4 linked regions of the Arabidopsis thaliana genome follow. The protein of the gene in region 3 purifies or fractionates together with the protein of the main gene of each other region. This does not show direct contact. Each region holds a gene or a part of one and is shown on either strand. Other genes may lie near its edges. The genes, in order: RABE1b, AAC2, SRT2 and BOU.

The links.
Region 1: the proteins of SRT2 (region 3) and RABE1b purify together in Arabidopsis thaliana (affinity purification with mass spectrometry, with the first as the bait; one study listed by BioGRID). This does not show direct contact.
Region 2: the proteins of SRT2 (region 3) and AAC2 purify together in Arabidopsis thaliana (affinity purification with mass spectrometry, with the first as the bait; one study listed by BioGRID). This does not show direct contact.
Region 4: the proteins of SRT2 (region 3) and BOU purify together in Arabidopsis thaliana (affinity purification with mass spectrometry, with the first as the bait; one study listed by BioGRID). This does not show direct contact.

Annotation. Positions count from the first base shown.
Region 1 is NC_003075.7:10,988,024-10,993,030, reverse strand, and holds RABE1b (RAB GTPase homolog E1B), read right to left. Parts: upstream 3,080-5,007; 5' UTR 2,996-3,079; coding exon 1,565-2,995; 3' UTR 1,538-1,564; exon of another isoform or gene 1,120-1,537; intron 991-1,119; exon of another isoform or gene 789-990; intron 769-788; 3' UTR 666-768; intron 586-665; 3' UTR 522-585; downstream 1-521. Other genes in the region: AT4G20350 (oxidoreductase), read right to left, coding at 3,298-3,444, 3,550-3,596, 3,704-3,926, 4,063-4,175, 4,275-4,313, 4,407-4,467, 4,545-4,640. UniProt on the Arabidopsis thaliana protein: This protein promotes the GTP-dependent binding of aminoacyl-tRNA to the A-site of ribosomes during protein biosynthesis.
Region 2 is NC_003076.8:4,333,693-4,338,227, reverse strand, and holds AAC2 (ADP/ATP carrier 2), read right to left. Parts: upstream 2,957-4,535; 5' UTR 2,661-2,956; intron 2,634-2,660; exon of another isoform or gene 2,553-2,633; intron 2,203-2,552; 5' UTR 2,195-2,202; coding exon 1,709-2,194; intron 1,623-1,708; coding exon 1,248-1,622; intron 1,146-1,247; coding exon 849-1,145; 3' UTR 534-848; downstream 1-533. UniProt on the Arabidopsis thaliana protein: ADP:ATP antiporter that mediates import of ADP into the mitochondrial matrix for ATP synthesis, and export of ATP out to fuel the cell.
Region 3 is NC_003076.8:2,869,575-2,874,317, reverse strand, and holds SRT2 (sirtuin 2), read right to left. Parts: upstream 2,911-4,743; 5' UTR 2,760-2,910; coding exon 2,758-2,759; exon of another isoform or gene 2,671-2,757; coding exon 2,627-2,670; intron 2,500-2,626; coding exon 2,262-2,499; intron 2,180-2,261; coding exon 2,114-2,179; intron 2,014-2,113; coding exon 1,968-2,013; coding exon of another isoform or gene 1,957-1,967; intron 1,859-1,956; coding exon 1,698-1,858; intron 1,622-1,697; coding exon 1,492-1,621; intron 1,413-1,491; coding exon 1,248-1,412; intron 1,175-1,247; coding exon 1,047-1,174; coding exon of another isoform or gene 1,043-1,046; exon of another isoform or gene 975-1,042; coding exon 875-974; intron 756-874; coding exon 705-755; 3' UTR 539-704; downstream 1-538. Other genes in the region: AT5G09240 (ssDNA-binding transcriptional regulator), read left to right, coding at 253-425; AT5G09225 (uncharacterized protein), read left to right, coding at 3,939-4,061, 4,679-4,743. UniProt on the Arabidopsis thaliana protein: NAD-dependent protein deacylase. Catalyzes the NAD-dependent hydrolysis of acyl groups from lysine residues.
Region 4 is NC_003076.8:18,988,081-18,992,630, reverse strand, and holds BOU (Mitochondrial substrate carrier family protein), read left to right. Parts: upstream 1-1,763; 5' UTR 1,764-2,136; exon of another isoform or gene 2,137-2,360; intron 2,361-2,818; 5' UTR 2,819-2,820; coding exon 2,821-3,212; intron 3,213-3,341; coding exon 3,342-3,852; 3' UTR 3,853-4,043; downstream 4,044-4,550. Other genes in the region: AT5G46810 (carboxyl-terminal proteinase-like protein, putative (DUF239)), read right to left, coding at 1-139, 232-285, 461-625, 722-928, 1,038-1,121, 1,456-1,467; MSP2 (microspore-specific promoter 2), read left to right, coding at 4,463-4,540. UniProt on the Arabidopsis thaliana protein: Involved in photorespiratory metabolism. Acts probably as a carrier for a glycine decarboxylase (GDC) cofactor or, alternatively, may act as a mitochondrial glycine shuttle. Involved in the transition from the embryonic stage to the juvenile autotrophic stage.

The sequences.
Region 1 (5,007 bases), on a different chromosome or scaffold from region 3:
GTTCTTGAATCCCAAAGGTCAAGTTCTCACTGATAATGATGACGGTACAAAATATCACAAAAAATATCTTTAAGAGCATGCTTTTAAGCCTGGTTCAATCACAAAGATTGGCTGTGTCATGTTTTTGCAGATAGAGATGGTGTCTCAAGAGGAAACAGAAGATCTCACTAACCAGGTTAGTTACTGCAATGTCAATCAGAAGAATCATACTCACACCCGTTGAGAGTGTTCGCTCTGTACTACCGCCAACAACAAGAGTGAGTTTGAACATAGATTTGAGTTCACATCATTTGCATGAGACTATAAAGATTCTCGTGGATACTTCATTGCATTAATTTCAAACATCTTTAACTCTTTTTTTGCAGCTCGGGATCTAAGACATGAAACTTAATATTTCTTGCATGAAAAGAAAGCAGCTTCTTCATATTCTTGTATAAACTCTACTGATGTCACAAACTTGATCTCTCAAGTTTAATGAAGTATATGGTCAACCTTGCAAATAATCTTAAAATCTTGTGCCACTGACTTAAAAGGGGTGTCCTTTTGGCTCTGTCTTAGAACTATTTTTTCTCTATCCTCACGGGTCTACATCAAAAGCCTCGAAGATCAAAATTAAGAAAGAGATTATATATATTTTTATAGATTTATAGAAGATAAGAGCTCACCATTGGAAGAACAAGTTGGAAGATGAGGACACGTGAGATTCCTTGTGTCCATCTCATTACTTATCATGTCACTCTGTATTGCGAATCTTTCATTAAACAAATCCTATTAAAATAAACCATATCTCTAATCAGCGTCTACTATCTCTCTATATATACACAACACTTTAAAAAATACGAAAAACCAATATAGAATCATAGATATTGAGCAAAATGGTAAAGCAGGTTTTTTCACAGTTGGGTTTTGTGTTCTTTATGGTGCTTCTGCTTCTTCTTCGTTGCAACAGTCTTGTTCTTGCTTCTAAACAAGAATCACTCCCAAGAGCTGGTTAGTGTTCCATAGACTCTCATAGTATATATATTTTACACTCTACACTACACATATGTCAAGTCGTATGACTTAGTAAATTATTGTCTTCCATGAAAACTAACAATAATAATGATTGTTATTTGTTAGGGAGAAGAATGAGGAGTTATCAAACAAATGGTGAGATCGATGCAGGCCCATCTTTCAGTGGCAGAGGTGGTGGTCGCATTCCATAAGCTCTCTCTTTCCTCTTCTTCATTATCTCTTCACATTTCAACTTTCCTCTTTAAGTTCTTTATGTTATATTCTGCAATCTCCTTGAATTGTTGATGTAATCTGCCCACAGTGGTTTCAAATTAAGTGATTGGTCGTTGAGTACCAAATCCACATCAGAATCATATGGAGCGAGACAAAGATGAATAACAAGGATCAGAAAATCAAGAAATATATGACATTTTGATTTCAAGTTCTTATGGAAAATGGCACAAAAATAAATAAAAAAAGGTAAAAACTCAAAGAGTTTGAGAATCAAGAGTGAAACAAAAAGAAAGCAAGTAGAGATGCTCACTATATGAAACTCTCTAAAACCTTATAATCATTCGAGGATCGTCCCAATAACTCCAGCACCAACAGTCTTTCCTCCTTCTCTGATAGCAAACCTCATCCCTTGTTCACAAGCCACCGGCACAATAAGCTCAACAACAATCTTCACTCGATCACCGGGCATAACCATCTTCGACTCTTCATCTTTGTCGTTCATGATCTTCGTCACTTTACCCGTAACATCAGTCGTCCTCATGTAGAACTGAGGCCTGTACCCTGCAAAGAATGGAGAATGCCTTCCACCTTCCTCTTTCTTCAACACATAGATAATTGCTTCAAACTTGGTATGTGGAGTAATCGATCCCGGCTTAGCTAAAACCATACCTCTCTGAATATCAGCCTTTTGAATACCCCTAAGCAACAACCCTACATTGTCACCAGCTAAAGCCTCATCAAGAATCTTCTGAAACATTTCAACCCCAGTGACAGTGTAACTCCTAGTCTCCCTCAAACCCACTAAATCTACAGTCTCTCCTACCTTAACCGTACCTCTCTCGACACGCCCTGTAGCCACCGTACCACGTCCAGTGATAGAGAACACATCCTCAACAGCTAACAAGAATGGCAATTCAGTTTGTCTCTGAGGGATAGGGATGTAATCATCAACAGCATCCATAAGTTCATAAATCTTATCTACCCATTTGTTATCACCTCTCTTAACCTTAGGATTCTCAGTAAGAGTCTCAACGGCTAAAAGAGCAGAACCAGAGATAATCGGAATATCATCACCGTTAAATTCATAAGACGAGAGAAGCTCACGAACCTCAAGCTCAACGAGCTCTAGCAACTCTGCATCATCTACTTGATCCTCTTTGTTAAGAAACACAACCATATCAGGAACACCAACCTGCTTAGCCAAAAGGATATGCTCTTTAGTCTGAGGCATAGGACCATCGGCGCCGGAAACAACGAGGATAGCTCCGTCCATCTGTGCAGCTCCGGTAATCATATTCTTAACGTAATCAGCGTGACCAGGACAATCAACGTGAGCGTAGTGACGATTCTCAGTCTCGTACTCAACAGTAGCAGTGTTGATTGTGATACCACGAGCTCTCTCCTCCGGCGCAGCGTCAATCTCGTCGTACTTTTTAGCGACGCTGGAACCAATGGAAGCGAGAGCCATGGTTAGAGCTGCGGTTAAAGTAGTTTTCCCATGGTCAACATGACCGATGGTTCCGATGTTGACATGAGGCTTCTTCCTCTCGAACTTTCCACGAGCGGCGCGGACGGTGAAGGAGCGACGAGTGGATTGAGAAGCGGAGGTGGTGGTTAATGAGTAAGAAGGGAGGAAGGAGGAAGAGAGAGTTAGGGTTTTGAGTTTACCAGAGGTGGAAATGGCGGGACAGAGAGAAGGAGAAGGAGAGGAGTAGGAACAGAGAATTCTAGAGGAGGAAGAACAAGCGGCTGGAGCCGAAATCGCCATGGGAAGATGGAATTGGAGAGCAGAGGAGAGAAATCGAGAAGCTAGGGTTTGAAATTTTTTTGGAGAAGGAGAAGATTTGGGGATAGAGTGAGATTGTATAGTGATGTTATCTCTTTAGAAGAAAAATAAGAAAAAATAAAATAAAATGAAGGGCTCATATTTAATCCTATCCGTTGCAAGTTTTTTGTCCTCATGTTTCGGCAACTACAAATCGTGGCGTTTTATATTCCACACGTCACAAATCGTAACGTTTTTTACAGTCATAAACGACAAGATAAAACCAGTGTTATTAGGGAAGCAAGCTAGAATCTGAAGAGATTTTTACGGACTTTGGGAACTAGACGGCAAGTAAGTGAAACTCGAGTTTGGTCTCTGTGAAAAATCTTGTCACCATCTTTTCTTGAATCTTCTTCGTTAGAGTAAGCCAAAGCTTCAGCTTCATTAACGACCTGAAGAACATGAACCACAGTAAAATCACTGTCCTTTTACACTAATTTCACTACCATTTTACATATATGCGAATATGATAAAGAGCTTTATATTGTTGTATGTACCTGGTTGTAACATTGTGTTGGACTATCGCTAATGCCGTGGAGGAAATCTGAAAACAAGACAGGATAATATGAATTTCAACTGGATGTTTTTAAAATGTTCCTGATTACTCTTCTTTCACTCTATGTAGTTCAATTAAGGAGATGAGCAATTTACCTGAATATGCGTCATCTTTGAAGATGAGTAAGCTTTGAGGCATCAACAAGACAGAGAATGAGTCTCTCTCAGGGGCACAACTCTCTGCACAGGGACTTTGGTCTTTGGAAATGTAACCATCGCCTGATCTTAATCTCAAATGCGGAGTGAAGTCCATAACAACAGGTGAGCCAAGAGACAAGATAGCTACAACAGGAAAGTAAGCGGGTCCATCTTGATGCGGCTGTGGAAACAACAACCATGGAAAGTAACTAAAACTTGCTCATGAACTTTACACAGAAACTAAAACCACTGGAGTAAGAAGCTGCGTTTACAGCAAAAACATAACCAACAAAATAATCAGAGGACGGATAACGGACCATAATCCCTTGGTCAGGATGGTATTCATTGATGAGGACATGATTTATAGCAGAAGGGAACAGACCCGAGCTTTCATGAATTTCCGCTGTTATCTTTGTCAGCCAGGGAGGCACTGAAACAAAGAGAAAAGATACATATATACATACACTAGTATCTAGAACCTTTGATAATCAAGAATGATTGGATTGGACTTTTTTTCATTCTTACTTACACTCTTGTGGAACAAGACCCTTTTCATGGACCATACCACCTGAAGAAACAAACCAAAAGCTCAAGACTTTATTATGTCTCTTCAACAACCAAAAAAACAATCTAATGAAAACAAAAGTAAAAGCAAGTGTACCCCAGTTCTGTAATCTTCTGTTCTTTAATGTCTTCCACTTGGAACCAGATGCTCCATATATCTTACAAGACAGCAAAAGGGTAGTACATATAATCTCAAGATGTCAAATGCTTAAACAATTGGAGAGGAGAGTTTTACATGATTTAGGAGCTGAGTTTGCTCTTCGTCAGTTATGAAACCGGGAATGTAGAATACAGTTGGAGTAAGACCTACCCTGAATCTCTCTAACTCCATGACTGTCAAAAAATCGAAGTTGGGTTTCGATTTTTTTTTTAAAACAAATTAGAACACTTCTAATTGAATCATAACTACAATCGTAGCCAATTAAGCTAATTACTAGCAACGATTCGTCTGTCTTCTACTTAACCCGTTTTACTATCTCAAATTGTTGAAAAGAGAAAAAATTCAAAATAATGGCAAAAAGGATAAATGAATCTAACCAGAAATTCAATTAGGAAACAAAGCTATCGATAAACTCTAAAAGAGAAGAGACAGGATCGTTGCTTTCACTTGAGAGGAAGAATCTGAAAATACTCAGATCAATGGCCGATGGAGAAGGAGGAATAAAAACCAGGTTTCTCCCGCTTAATTAAAAAGGTTA
Region 2 (4,535 bases), 1.5 Mb from region 3:
ACGAAGCGGAGTTGACTAACGGTGCGTCATTAACGAATTAATTATTAATAACAGTCGTCGAAAATGATTTGACAAAATGTGTGTCTTTGGATCGTGCCAATCAAAACCAAAGAATTCTCCTGATGGCTTTGAATATAATTTCAGGAAAAAAATATAGGAAGTGCAAGTGTTGTGGCATACCACGTTTAAGAAAAAAACATGGAATATTAAAGAAGAAAAACCTAATACGTGAATCGAAGTTAGCACACATAATTAACATGCTTTAGAAATTAGTATGGGCAATAATACTGCTTTTTTTTTTGGTAAGTTGGGTAATAATACAACTTGAGATTTGGTTTGCGACGTTCAATCTGATTTGATTATATGAACTATCTATTTCTATATGTCTTCATATTATTTCGTGTGTTTTGGTGGAAACGTGCCACTCGCCAGGATCTGATCGTAGCTGTCATTTTTACGTTAAAGAGATATTTGTCTTGGTTCATTGAACTCTTCTTGACGGTGGTACCTTTCCACGCCTTACATTTCCATCAATACGCGTTAGTAAAATCTTCAATAACATAGTGACGTTTCCTTCCGCAACAACGGTAGCAACAAAATAAAAAGGGACATCCTCACCATATAAAACATAGCCTGGTTCGAAGGAGTCAAATCTCCCTCCCATACAAAATTTATTCCATATAACAAAAACCTTATCGTCGAACAGATAATATTTCCCCTTGCTCCTCTCTAATTTTATGGGGAAATGATTTCATCAACATCTTTTTTATAAAAGAAATCTGAAACTGCAAAAAAAATGGAGAAAAAAACAAAAGCCGAAGCTTAATGACTGCGGGATTTGGTGGTACTTAGGCACCTCCAGATCCATACTTCTTGCCGAAGACGATTAACTGCAGCTTGTCGTAGCCAGCAAGCACACCAGCACCTGCAACGGCACGCAGGATGTTGGCACCCGCACCCTTGAACAGAGACTTGGCTCCTTCCTTCTTCACGATCTGTGAGAACGCATCAAATGAGCTCTTGTACTTCACCGCTTCACCTGATGTCATCATCATTCTTCTTCTAACCGTGTCAATCGGGTACGACGCAAGACCCGCACCATTGGTGATGAGCCATCCAAGAGCAAAACTAGCGAAGAAACTGTCCTGAAATATCCAGCAAGGAAAGAAATAACAACATTAGAATCAGGATCCCTGATTTCTTAAGCTGTCACCTTACAGATATATAAGAATAGAGCTCAAACAAACCTGCAGGTCTCCAGTGAGGAGGACAGGCTTCACAGAGTCGTACAGTCCAAAGTAGAGACCACGGTAGACAATGATACCAGCACACGAGATGTTGAAACCACGGTAAAGTCCAGCAATACCATCTGACTTGAGGGTCTTCTTGTAGACATCAACAAGACCATTGAACTGCCTTTCACCTCCTCCCTTCTTGGCAGACTTGGAGTCATTGGCAAGACGGGTACGTGCATAGTCAAGAGAGTACACAAAGAGAAGGGAAGAGGCACCAGCAGCACCTCCAGATGCCAAGTTACCAGCAAACCACTTCCAGTAGCCATCCTTGTCTTTCTTGAAGTTGAAAAGCCTCTTGAAGTAATCTTTGAATGCAAAGTTCAAGGCCTAGCAAGTGAGAGATAGATCAGTAACCAATACATCATATATAACTAAGACATTTTAAAAAAGCAAAGAAGTGAAACTAAACCAACCTGAGTGGGGAAGTAACGGATAACATTAGCGGTGTTTCCTCTCCACAACGAACCAATACCTTCATCCCTAATTGTCCTGCCGAAACAGTCACGAATACCCTTGTATGGCTCAGTAAGCCTTCCAGCCTTAAGCATCTCATCCTGGTTTTGAATCAAAAGCTTGACACGCTCAATGGGAGCAGCAGCAGTCTTTGACACAGCAGCAGAAACACCACCCATCATGAAATCAATAGCAAAGTTAGTAAATCCCTTCTCTCCTGGAGCTTGGACAAACACAGGAGAAGTAGTAGTTGCAATCTGAGATGCAGCCACAAGAGGATATTGAAATGCAGCATTGGAGTAGTTTCCGTAAGCTGCATGTTTCTGGTATGTAGCAGGCCTTTTGGAAGCCGAAGCATAACCACGAATGTCCTGAGAAACACTCGAGCTCAAGAGTTGGCCAGAAACCTTCTGAAGAATCGTGGGGTGCTGAGTCTGTTCAACCATTTTAACCTCTACAAAATTAAACAACCCGTAGTGTAAGAAATGGAATATGCTATAAAGTGCAGTAAAAGCAATTGTGCATCTCCAGTGGAATAGAACACTTATCCACCATTAAGCATAAGAGAGGCTACATGTAGAAACGATGCAATCAGAAACTAAACCATGAACACATTCAGACGCAGAAAATTTAGGTTAAACAGATCCATACAACAGTGTAACTTAATGGCGGAAAATAAGAGTAACAGAGCCGAATAATCCAGGATCTCGATACATTCACACTCCACACGAGATCTACACTACATTCAATCTAGGATTACGCAGAGAAACCATGAGATCATCAAGACGAAACGAATCATTTTACCTTGTTGATGATATATAAGACTGTGAAGCAGATCAATAGAATCAAATGAAGAACAGAGATAAACAACGAGATTTAAAGCGATAGAGATCTCAGAGTAACCAGAATTACCTAAGAAAATCGATGGCAATGCGAAATTGAGGGAGCGAGATTCTTCGCCCTTCGTTGTCGGAGCTGAGCGAAGAAGAAGAAATGAGAGAATTCTCTTTGTGGGGAAGAGGCGAGTTTTGACACGAGCCTTTTATTGGCTCCAGAAATAGGGTCACACTAGAAAGAATCAAGTGTAACGCACTATTCTATACACTCGGGGACTGTAGGACCGTTAGATCATCGAGATTGAAATTGTGAGCCGTTGATTGTAATTGCTAAAATGAATAATATAATTATGGAAGTATACGACTGCGTTATCGGCCGTAGATCATGCCACCTATTTGGCGCCGGAAATCTGGAATGTTATTGGCCATTGACGGGTTTTTGTAGTCAACTGTCTACAGGGTAACGTTTCAAATATTTCTTAGTTTATATTTTGTTTTGGTCAAAGTGCTTTAATCTTTAATATTTGTTTTGACCAACAGTATATTTACAAAAAAAAATGGTGTTTTGGAAAAAAAAAAAAAAAAGAACAAAAACACAATATCAGTCCACCAGTGTTACGTTCCTCGCCTCCTCCTCCGTCGGCTAGTTGTACAAAATTTTAGTGGATCGCTATAATGGTCATCTTCAGGGTGTCATATGTTTTGAGTCAGAATTTCGAATGTCGAAGTGATTCAGTAATGGTTGGGAAGGCTTGTGATGCTGCCTCATCCCAGTCCAAATGTATTTGCCTTGACTCTTGAAGAGCTCTAAATCCCACGTCTTCTATCTAGCTCTAAAGTATGCTATGTCACTTTGGTTGTGCTTCACCTTCTTTGTTTTCAGCTCATGTTTGTTCATCTTCACATAAAGGCATGTTGAAAATGGAAAGGTGCAAGATCAGTCAATATGTTCATCTTCACATAAAGGCATGTTTAAGGCAAGGTGATTGTATCTCTCCTTATCTCTTTATTTTGGTAATGGAGGTGTTATCCAGAATGTTGGACAGTGGGCTGTTGGAGGGCAAGTTTTCTGCTCATCCTTTGTGTATCACTCCTCGCCTAACTCATCTAGCTTTCGCAGATGATTTATTGGTTTTCTCAGATGGTTCTCAGCACTCTCTCCTTGGTATTAGTGGTATACTGCAAACTTTCCATTCCTTTTCCGGTTTGGACATGAACCCTTCAAAGTCTGAGCTGTTTTTTGGAGGTTATGGGGATTCTGAAGCTGCTGTTATTGCTGACTTGATTGGGATTCGAATAGGTGTTTTTCCCTCTCGGTATCTTGGCTTGCCGCTGAACCCGACTAAGCTTTCTCTTGCCACACTTCAACCTTTTATTCAAAAGATTACCGAGCAGCTTAACTCCTGGACAACCAAGTTTCTCTCTTATGCTGGGAAAATCCGGTTAATAGTATCTGTTGTTTATGGGAAAGTGAACTTCTGGAGTCAAGTCTTTGTTCTACCAAAGGGTTTTTATAAGAAAATTGACAATCTCTGCTCTGCTTTTTTGTGGAAAAATACTACTTCGTCTGCAAGAGGTGCAAGAGTTGCTTGGAAGGACATTTGTAAGACAAAAGAGGAGGGTGGGTTAGGTATTCGATCTCTTGAGGAATTTGCTACTGTTTTCAGGTTGAAACAGGTTTGGCACCTCTTTACTAGAAGGGGCTCATTGTGGGTTATGTGGTTGGACCATAACATCTTCGGAAGAAGGAACTATTGGTTGATGGATAGCACACCACGTCTATCTTGGAACATTAGGAAGATGTTGGAAGTAAAATCTGTGTTCCAGAGATTGATTAAATGTCAGATGCGAGACGGTATGAAAGCCTCTTTCTGGTTTGATTATTGGACAAGCCTTGGTCCCCTTATTGAGCTTTTTGGTCAGTTGGGCCCAAGAGAGCTTCGGATCAGTA
Region 3 (4,743 bases):
TCAACAATGTATCCTCATCCCTTTGTTTTCATGTTTTGTTTCGTTAAGGTTCTGCATTTAGTTAGCAGATCTTAGGGACTTTTATTATATATCTAGTACTTCTGCGGTTTGGGACTGAGAGGAGGAGATGCGCAGAGTGTTTTCTTTTCATCAACAACGTCTTGGTTTTTGTCTCCTAGGGCCAGCTATATTAGTTTGCTTTCTTTGCATAATCATGTTGACAAGATTTTCGATGTCTCCTATATGTTGCAGGTATCTCTCTAAGCCTGGAACAGGTATTCACATCTCTCTTCCATTGTTTATGTCTTCCACACGTGCATATGTCCTGCTTATTACACGAGACCTTTTTCTTAATGCAGTGGAACGATCTTCGGAACCATGAGGAGGATATCGATAAGGCCCTCTCTGAGCTTTCTGAGGTTTAAAAGCTTGTGTAATCGGGTATTGGAAGGTGGCTTTGGTTGTTTTGGTTTGTTTTTCAGAACAACACCATGTTCTGCAAGTGTTAGCTGCTTCGAGTTAGTTCATGTGTTGAATCTATTATTTGATGTTGATTACTCTTTTATTTGATGTTGGATTTACAACTTGAGATACGTTGCAGGAATACAAGCATTCATTTTGATTAGTTATAAATAATATATATAGGTGATCTAAATGATAACATAGCTCTTGCCAAAGTTTACTTAAATGATCCGGACATTGTGCTAGAGAGCTGGGACACTGAGCGATCCCACGTCAAGAACTCTGTGCAATATCTGCAGCAAACCAATCACGAAATGACAAATTATTAAGGCTGACAATCATGAAATAATATGGATATTTAAGGCATTTTCAAGGCTGAAGGAAAGGGAAGAGCTTTATGCTATGCTCATACCTCACCAACCCTAGCATTGATTTTCAATGGAACAATGTCATCAGCTCTTGTTTCGCCTATATTTACAATTGCGGTCATAGCACCAGCCTCATGAGCCGCTCTGCAAAAGGTATATAGAAAGCTTCTTAGTAAGATGCAAACTCAAAACTGGATGATTATTCTCCTGCATCACCTGCAAAGGCGAAAAGCAGACATTGTCATTAAGGATGAACCCAACACGAGGAATGCATCGCTCTGTTTTGCAACTTCCATTGCTTGAGTAGCTCTTTCCTTCGGGATGTTGTCTCCAAAGAAAATTACCTTCAATTCAACGAGAACATAATAAGAAACAGAGCTAAACTGATTCGTCTCTATCTGATTAAGTCAATCTTACATCAGGCTTTAGGACTCCTTTGCACTTCTCACATACTGGTATATGAAAACCCTCTTCCCAAAACTTTTCGTCAATCTCGATATCACCATCAGGCCTTTGTTTCATGCCAAAGCTCTTCTCTGATCCTGGATCTCCATGATCAATACTTTCTATAGCTTCAGCCCACTACAGTTGAAACAAAAACGTTGTAACTTTGCGAGATGATACATTAATCCAGTTTATTCAGGTTATGGTATACACTGGCCTTAGGATTGATTGCTTTTAGCTGATCCTGAAACAAGTCTCGGGGAAAAGAGAAGCCGCACTCTAAGCACATAACAGTATATACTGTGCCATGTAATTCAAGTGGATCGCTCCCAGCACGATGATGCAACCTAACAACTTAGAGCTTAGAGTCAACATTCTTCACATCCAACAGAGATCCTACGGAAGAGGAACTGAAGGATATACCTGTCAACATTTTGTGTGATCATAAAATTTATTCGTCCAGCTTTTTCTAGTGATGCTAAAGCAGTATGAGCTGGTCCTGGTTGTGCTGCAGTGAACCTCCTCCATCCAGCGTAACTCCTCGCCCAATACCGCCTACGAGCTCGGCTTGATCGAGTAAACTCCTGTGAAGGAGGTTGTAGACAATAGATTAATACAGTTATACAATAGTAAAATGATCCAAGGTTTGCATTAAGAACTGTAAAGATTTCATAGATCTTGCCTTCAGATCACCTGATGGGTAATTGGTTTGAAACCAGAACTGTATGCTCCATTGGGACTGCACCAAATCATCAAATGGAACCACATGTAACCCATGAGACCATCAAAACGAGAATGCAAGGCATCTTCAGACAAGACTAATCGATCAAATGAATTACCTTCTGTAATCCGGAATTCCACATTCTGTGCTAACCCCAGCTCCAGTCAAGATGGTGAGTCTCGAGCTGCCAAAAGAGAAGAGGAAAGCCATTAGATACAACACATGTATGCTCACTGCTGGAAAAAGATGGTGAAGGAAATATCAACCTTTGCTCAAAAAGTCGATACAACTTGTGGATATCTTCCATATTGGGGGGATCAGCATCTGGAACAATCTTTCTATCCCTCAGAAACCTTGGAGGTGCTTTTGATTCATTCCCCAAAGAACCACCAGGGATCGAAACGCGACACGTTGTTCTCACAAACCGTCTGCATCCTTTAAACAACATAACCAAGTTTCCCCCAGACTGCAGCGGCCGGTACATACTTCGCGACGGAAACAAATCTAGAAGAAGGAAAAGAAGAAAAACTCAGCAACATTATTAACTCATTGCATTTGCATAGGTAAGTAATGAATCAAAACAAGCTAGGACACAAAGATGAGGAAGAACATTCATTATTCTCATACTTGCCTGTAGATACACCTCCAAACACTCTTCTCATGTTCATAGAAAGCCTAATAAATCGCAGAGATGAATCTATGATCACAATTTCACTAGCAAAAAAAAGTAATGGAGAAATGAATCTATGATAAGCCAATTACATTCAATGAAGAAGATCTAGCTAGAAAGTATCGTACTACTGAGATCAAAATAAAGCCACCAATCGAGTTTTTCACCGAGAAGCTAACAGATTGAAATTAATACCCAAGAGCATATATAGTAATAAGATTACCTTGAGAGGTCGTTAATGGCGGATGAAACGAGATTTCTTCAGTTTTGCGTTTTATTTTTTTCCAGAATTTTTTGTTGTTGTTGAAGACAAGGTGGCAAAAATCGGACGTCTGAAACTCATTATTGGCTAAGCAAGTAGCCACGTAGCGCAATTATCCACCGTTGAATAGTTCACTAATGCAAACGACGTCGTTATTGGAATAAAACAGAAACCGCATACGTCGATTTTGTTCTCTCTCTGCGGACGAAGCTCTCTCTCTTTAGCTTCGATCTCTCCCTCGCTTCGATCTCTCTCTCGACTGCTACTCCTGGTTAGTTCTCTGTCAAATATTCGTTCATGTGACTCTCGTCGATTTTTGTCTTGATGCAACTTCATCGCTTTGTTCTTCGCTATTCGTTGTTATTGTTGATTCCGCATATGCTTCCTTTGATTTCAGCTTGTAGGTTTGTCCAAATTTCACTTGCTCTGTTCTTATTGTTGTTGCCAACCAAGTGTTTGATGAAATGCCTCACAGAATCAGTGGTTGTTTTTTTTTTGGTAGAGCTTGTAATCACTTGTGCTTTGTTTATTTTTGGATATGTATGCTGCTTGGAGCCACATTAGATTATTCTTGATTCATTGTTTTTATGAACTCTAGTAGTGTTTTTTAACTGATTCTTAATACCTCTATTATCTTGTGTATGAGAAACAAGTTTATTAACTCGATTCTGTACTTTATTGTTCTTTATGATTCCAAAGATTACTTTTGTTTATATCATTCGATTATTTTCTACTTAATGATGTTTTTCAATTTTCTCTACTACAGGAATGTACATTTGTTGATGGAAGTTTCTTCAGAATTGATTTCAAAATCTCTGGTAAGTCACTTGAAGCAAACTGCAATAATAATGTTGAATGGAAACGTTTACTAGGAAAGGCTTTTACTTTGAATTTGATTATGTTTTGAGAAGATAATAGGATTCAACTGAATCAGTATAGTTAATGGTAGTAGTAATTGAGATATATGGACTAAATAATTACAGAGCTGAAGATTCTTGACTTGGAACAAATATGCCTCACAGAACAAGGCCGTTGAAGGGACTCTTGCTTTTCACTGGAATAAACTTTGTGTTGGTGCAGACCATTACTCCAGTCTATGACTTTGTCTGCTTCTTGCCTTACTGGGAGAGAAGGGTATGTTTTAGATTTTAAACTCTCAAGACTATAATATCAATTTCTGTTTTCGTTATTGTTCCAATGTCTCCAAGTGTGTACTTTAACTTGGAGACAAATACAATGATCACTTCCTGTTTTCATTATGTTTCTGTATCTCCCAAGTGTGTAGATTAACTCATCTGGTTCATGATCATGGTAACTAATTCTGATGCTTTGCTAGGGCAATTTAGCTTACATTTCTTTAAGGGCTCGAACCTCTTTTGTTCTGTGGTTAAATAGGTAGCTATATTGGTTCTCTTCTCGCTTAGATTTTAGATACAAACTAGTTATATTACTAAATACTGAGACTGTTAGCTAACTATTCAGATGATGGAGTCTGTTGTTTCTCAGAAAAATGTCATACAAGTTGCTTGGAGCTAACTATCTTGGCACAGTAGGTTATTTGCATAGGTAGCATGACGTATGCTCTCAGTTTCGACATTGTAAACTAACAAATTGGATCATGTTGCATTACCAAGCACGAAATAACTCTACTGTTATTTTTATTTTTTTCCCTCCGTTTCCTGGCGTCTTGTGTCATTACTGACTAACTTTAGTTTTGTTTGTTTCTCTGTTGTTACATTGAATCTCTACAGAGAGAGCGAATCCGGCAGGAGCGTGAAGCCGCAGCTGCATCCTTAAACTCAACACAAAAAGCTAC
Region 4 (4,550 bases), about 16 Mb from region 3:
TGATTGCAAAAAAAGCTTTAAAATTTTGGCCTCCCACCACAGAGGTGTTCGCAAAACCGGCTCCAAGAAAGAGTCTCCTATCAATTTGAACGAAACCCTTACATTTTATATTGTAACATCCGCTTTCGAATGTATCTTGCTGCAAAAAACGATTTGGGGTTAAAGAAGAGAAAAAAAAAATCTACTTTCTTGTGATAGGGACAGACGATAATTGGTGACATTGTTACTCACACTCCAGTATGCAGTAAGTCGTGTACGGCTATCGCCATATAGTGCAGGAATCACCTTAATATATTTCATACGTAGTAAAAAAAAAAAGTTATCAGTAAAACTTTTAACCATGATATTTATTCAAATGAACTAATTATACATATGCTAAATGATGGTTGCATTAAGTGGGTTTAATTTTGATCTAGTATATCACGATTTAAAAAAACAAAACAAAAAATTAAATTCTTACAGCCCAACCAAAGTGGGCACTGGTGCGTTCGCCTTCATACTCAGTATTGAGCCAAATGAAAGCCATGCTGAATTGCTCTTTATTTGTCAATTTAGGTTGGTAAATACTTATCCATGCTGATGCTCCACGCCACGGGGTGGCATCGATTTTCTTCATTACCGCAGCCTGTATATATATACACATCAGTTTTTTCAAAAAAAAAATACACATCAAATGGTTTGGATCATATATAGTAAAGGTATAAAATTTTAGTCACTTCACATGTTGACCAACAGTTCCAAATCCATTAATAGGCTGAAAATGTTTCTCGGTGTGGTTGAAATTATTTCTTGGTTTATGGATTGGTACTTGTCCTTGAGGACATCCTTCTTCTGGTATATCAAACTCAGCAACCATTTCATCGTTTGATAAGTTTTCTGATGATGTATCTCCTGAGAGCATGGCTAAGGCTTCATCGCTCGGTCTCATCTATGTGATGCATCAAAAAATATATCAATCAAATAGGGATAAGTATATGATCATGATAAACATTAGGTGCAGGAAATCGACAAACAAATGTAAATATATAGAAATATACTTGGATTCGGTGATTTTGGAGTTTAGGGTGTTGTAGCGAAGGTTGTTTGTAGATATCAACGCATTCGTATTCAGGTTCTTGAGGCTACAAGATATGAGAATTTTTTTTAACTTTATTTGTATTATATATTTAAGTTTATATCAAAGTGCTTACAAAATGGTGACAGACCTTAGTATTTTGAGACCTTCCATGGAAGCAAAGTAATGAAAGAGAGAATATGATGATCAACAACCAAGGAGAAGCCATTTGCTTAGTTTGCATATTTTCTATGTTCAGCCGTTGAGGCGGAGCCAATGTATATATAGGGAAGGTGGTCATCTGAAAATTCTTAATTATAAGGTAATTTACTTAATAATATTAATTCTTAAATGTTTTTGTATAAAAATTTTCATGTTGATGCCATATGATCATTTCCTACCTTTGACCCCATTCATAATATTCTTTTGAGAAAAGAACTTATTGACCCAATATATTAAATTAGTAATATTTTTAATTAGTAAACTAATTCATAAAATATAAAGTTAATTGAGTTATTTTCATACCTAAAATACCTTATATTGTTTTGTTAGGCTTATAACAGCTTCAACAATTCCGGATGAGCTTGGGCTGAACAAGAACTCCACGGCCCATCTTCAAACATAGAAACCCAATCAGCTCCAAACCAGCTCAATCCTTAAACCAAATTGGAATCCTGAACCACACATACGTTATACGTTAACCGACCGATTAAGCTGATCGAACGTCTGACCAGCCAAACTGATCTTCATTTTTCACCAACCACACTTAAAACAAAAACGTTTTCTCTTAAAGAAAATTTAAAGAGACAAAACAAACAAACAAAACTTCAGTCTCTGCAAAGCTCCATCCTTTGTGGTTGTGTCGTAGATAGCCATTCGAGTGGTTAAAAGTTAAAAACTTTTATGTCCACTTGAATCCTTTTTTGTTTCTTTTTGGATTTTATCTGATCACTCGTTTTGTGTCTCTGAATCTCTATCCCGTGGATTCGCATCTGGATTTGTTTTTTTTTCATTTTTATTCGAGCGGCTAACCTTTCTCGGATCCATCTGATATCGATTGGATTCTCTCTAATCAATCGTTGGTAAGCTAATATTTAATCACTTTTGATTGAATTTTCCTTCTGGGTTTTTGATCTGATTTCACCTCATTGTCTTATGAATCCACCATTTGAGTTCTAGGGATTAAAAGATTCAAACTTTCTCAGAGACAACTGAGGAAAAATGACATGTTTTTAGAGTTTGAGTTTGGTTACATTTTCAGGTTTTGTTAAGATTTCTCTCATTGTCTTCTGAATCCTTTGATTTGGTAATGATTGGAAATGATCATAAGATTCCTACTTTCTTGGAAGCAAAATAAAAATATCCACTTTTTATGAGAAAAACTCTTTGAAACGTCTTTGTTATATTCAAACTTGGTTTGTTTATACGTTTTGATTGGCTAAGTGGTTCAGGTCACAAGTGACAAAAGTACTGATTTTGGATGATGATATAGTTGGTTTAAGTGGTTAGGTTATAAGTTAATCTTGACTCTTGAAGGATTATTCATTAACAAAAAGTAGTGAGTTTGGTTGGTTTATGAAACATTTGGTTAGTTAAAGTGGTTTAGGTCACAAGTTAAATGACAAGTATTCATTAACAAAGGTTTTGATTTTGGTTTGTTCTGAGAAAATTGTTTCAAGTGGTGTAAAACTTATTCTTAATTAACAAAAACTTTTGATTTTTTTGGTTGATTCTGAGAAATTTGATTGATTTATTGTTTCTTAGAAATGGCGGATGCGTGGAAGGATTTAGCTTCAGGGACTGTTGGAGGAGCTGCTCAACTAGTTGTTGGTCATCCATTTGACACTATCAAGGTCAAACTTCAGAGCCAACCGACTCCAGCACCAGGCCAACTTCCAAGGTACACCGGTGCAATCGATGCGGTTAAACAGACCGTTGCTTCTGAAGGAACCAAAGGTTTGTATAAAGGTATGGGAGCTCCACTTGCAACCGTTGCTGCCTTCAATGCGGTTTTGTTCACTGTGAGAGGTCAAATGGAAGGGCTGCTTAGGTCTGAAGCTGGAGTTCCTTTGACCATTAGTCAACAGTTTGTGGCCGGTGCAGGCGCTGGTTTCGCTGTTTCGTTCCTTGCTTGTCCTACCGAGTTGATCAAGTGCAGGTTAGGTTCTTTTTACATGTATTACCAATCAGAGCCTATATATACATGTGCTTTTAACTCAAGCTCTAGACTGAAACAGAACTAAAACATGTCTCTTTGTGTGTGTGTTTAATCTTGTTTCTCCATCAGGTTGCAAGCACAAGGTGCATTAGCTGGTGCCTCTACTACAAGCTCAGTGGTTGCAGCCGTGAAATACGGTGGACCAATGGATGTAGCCCGTCATGTCCTACGATCAGAAGGAGGAGCACGAGGTCTATTCAAAGGTTTATTCCCTACATTCGCCCGTGAAGTCCCGGGAAATGCAACAATGTTTGCAGCCTACGAAGCTTTCAAGCGGTTTTTAGCCGGTGGTTCAGACACTTCAAGCTTAGGACAAGGGTCATTGATCATGGCGGGTGGAGTCGCTGGTGCTTCTTTTTGGGGAATAGTATATCCGACAGATGTTGTGAAGAGTGTTCTTCAAGTCGACGATTACAAAAACCCGAGATACACGGGGTCGATGGATGCTTTTCGGAAGATTCTGAAATCTGAAGGAGTTAAAGGTTTGTATAAAGGATTTGGTCCAGCTATGGCTAGGAGTGTTCCTGCTAATGCTGCTTGCTTCTTGGCTTATGAGATGACAAGGTCAAGCTTGGGATAAACCGGTTCGGTTTGGGTTTAACTGTTGGTTCGATTTCTGAATGTTCCATTGCGATTAACCTCTCTGTTTTTAGATTTGATTCTTAAAAAATTTCTGCAAAATTTATGTACCATTTACACAGTTTATTTCAGTATTTCTTACACAGAAGAACTAGTGGTTGACATTAACATTTTAACCGAATTGAACCGAACAAAAACAGAATCGGATGGTAACTAAATCAAACTAAACCGAACTTAGTGATTTAAGAGTTCGCTAAGGGGTTTGTTTAAGGGTTTAATCTATAAAAATTAGGTTTATATTGTGGGGTTACGAATTTAAAGTTTTTAGCCTTTTAGGTGTTTATAATATAGGGGTTTAATTTTTCTATTTTTGGTTTATAAATTGGAGTTAATATTTATATTTAGACTATTTTGTTAATTTAAATTAAATAACAGATTAGCGTATGACTCTGTACAAGTAGAGAGTGTCAACAGGAAAAAAAGGAGGGAACTCAACTGCTTTTTCCTTTATCGTCTTACATTTTTTTACTTATCTATATAACTTTTTCCACTATATAAACCAAAAAAATAATATCACATGTTAGAGAAATCCCAAAAAAATAACAAGTCTTATGGAGACGATTGAGCAACAAAAACATTCACTCTCTTCTTTGCCTATGCTCTCTAGGCTTGAACACTTGGATTTCGTTGTAAATTGTT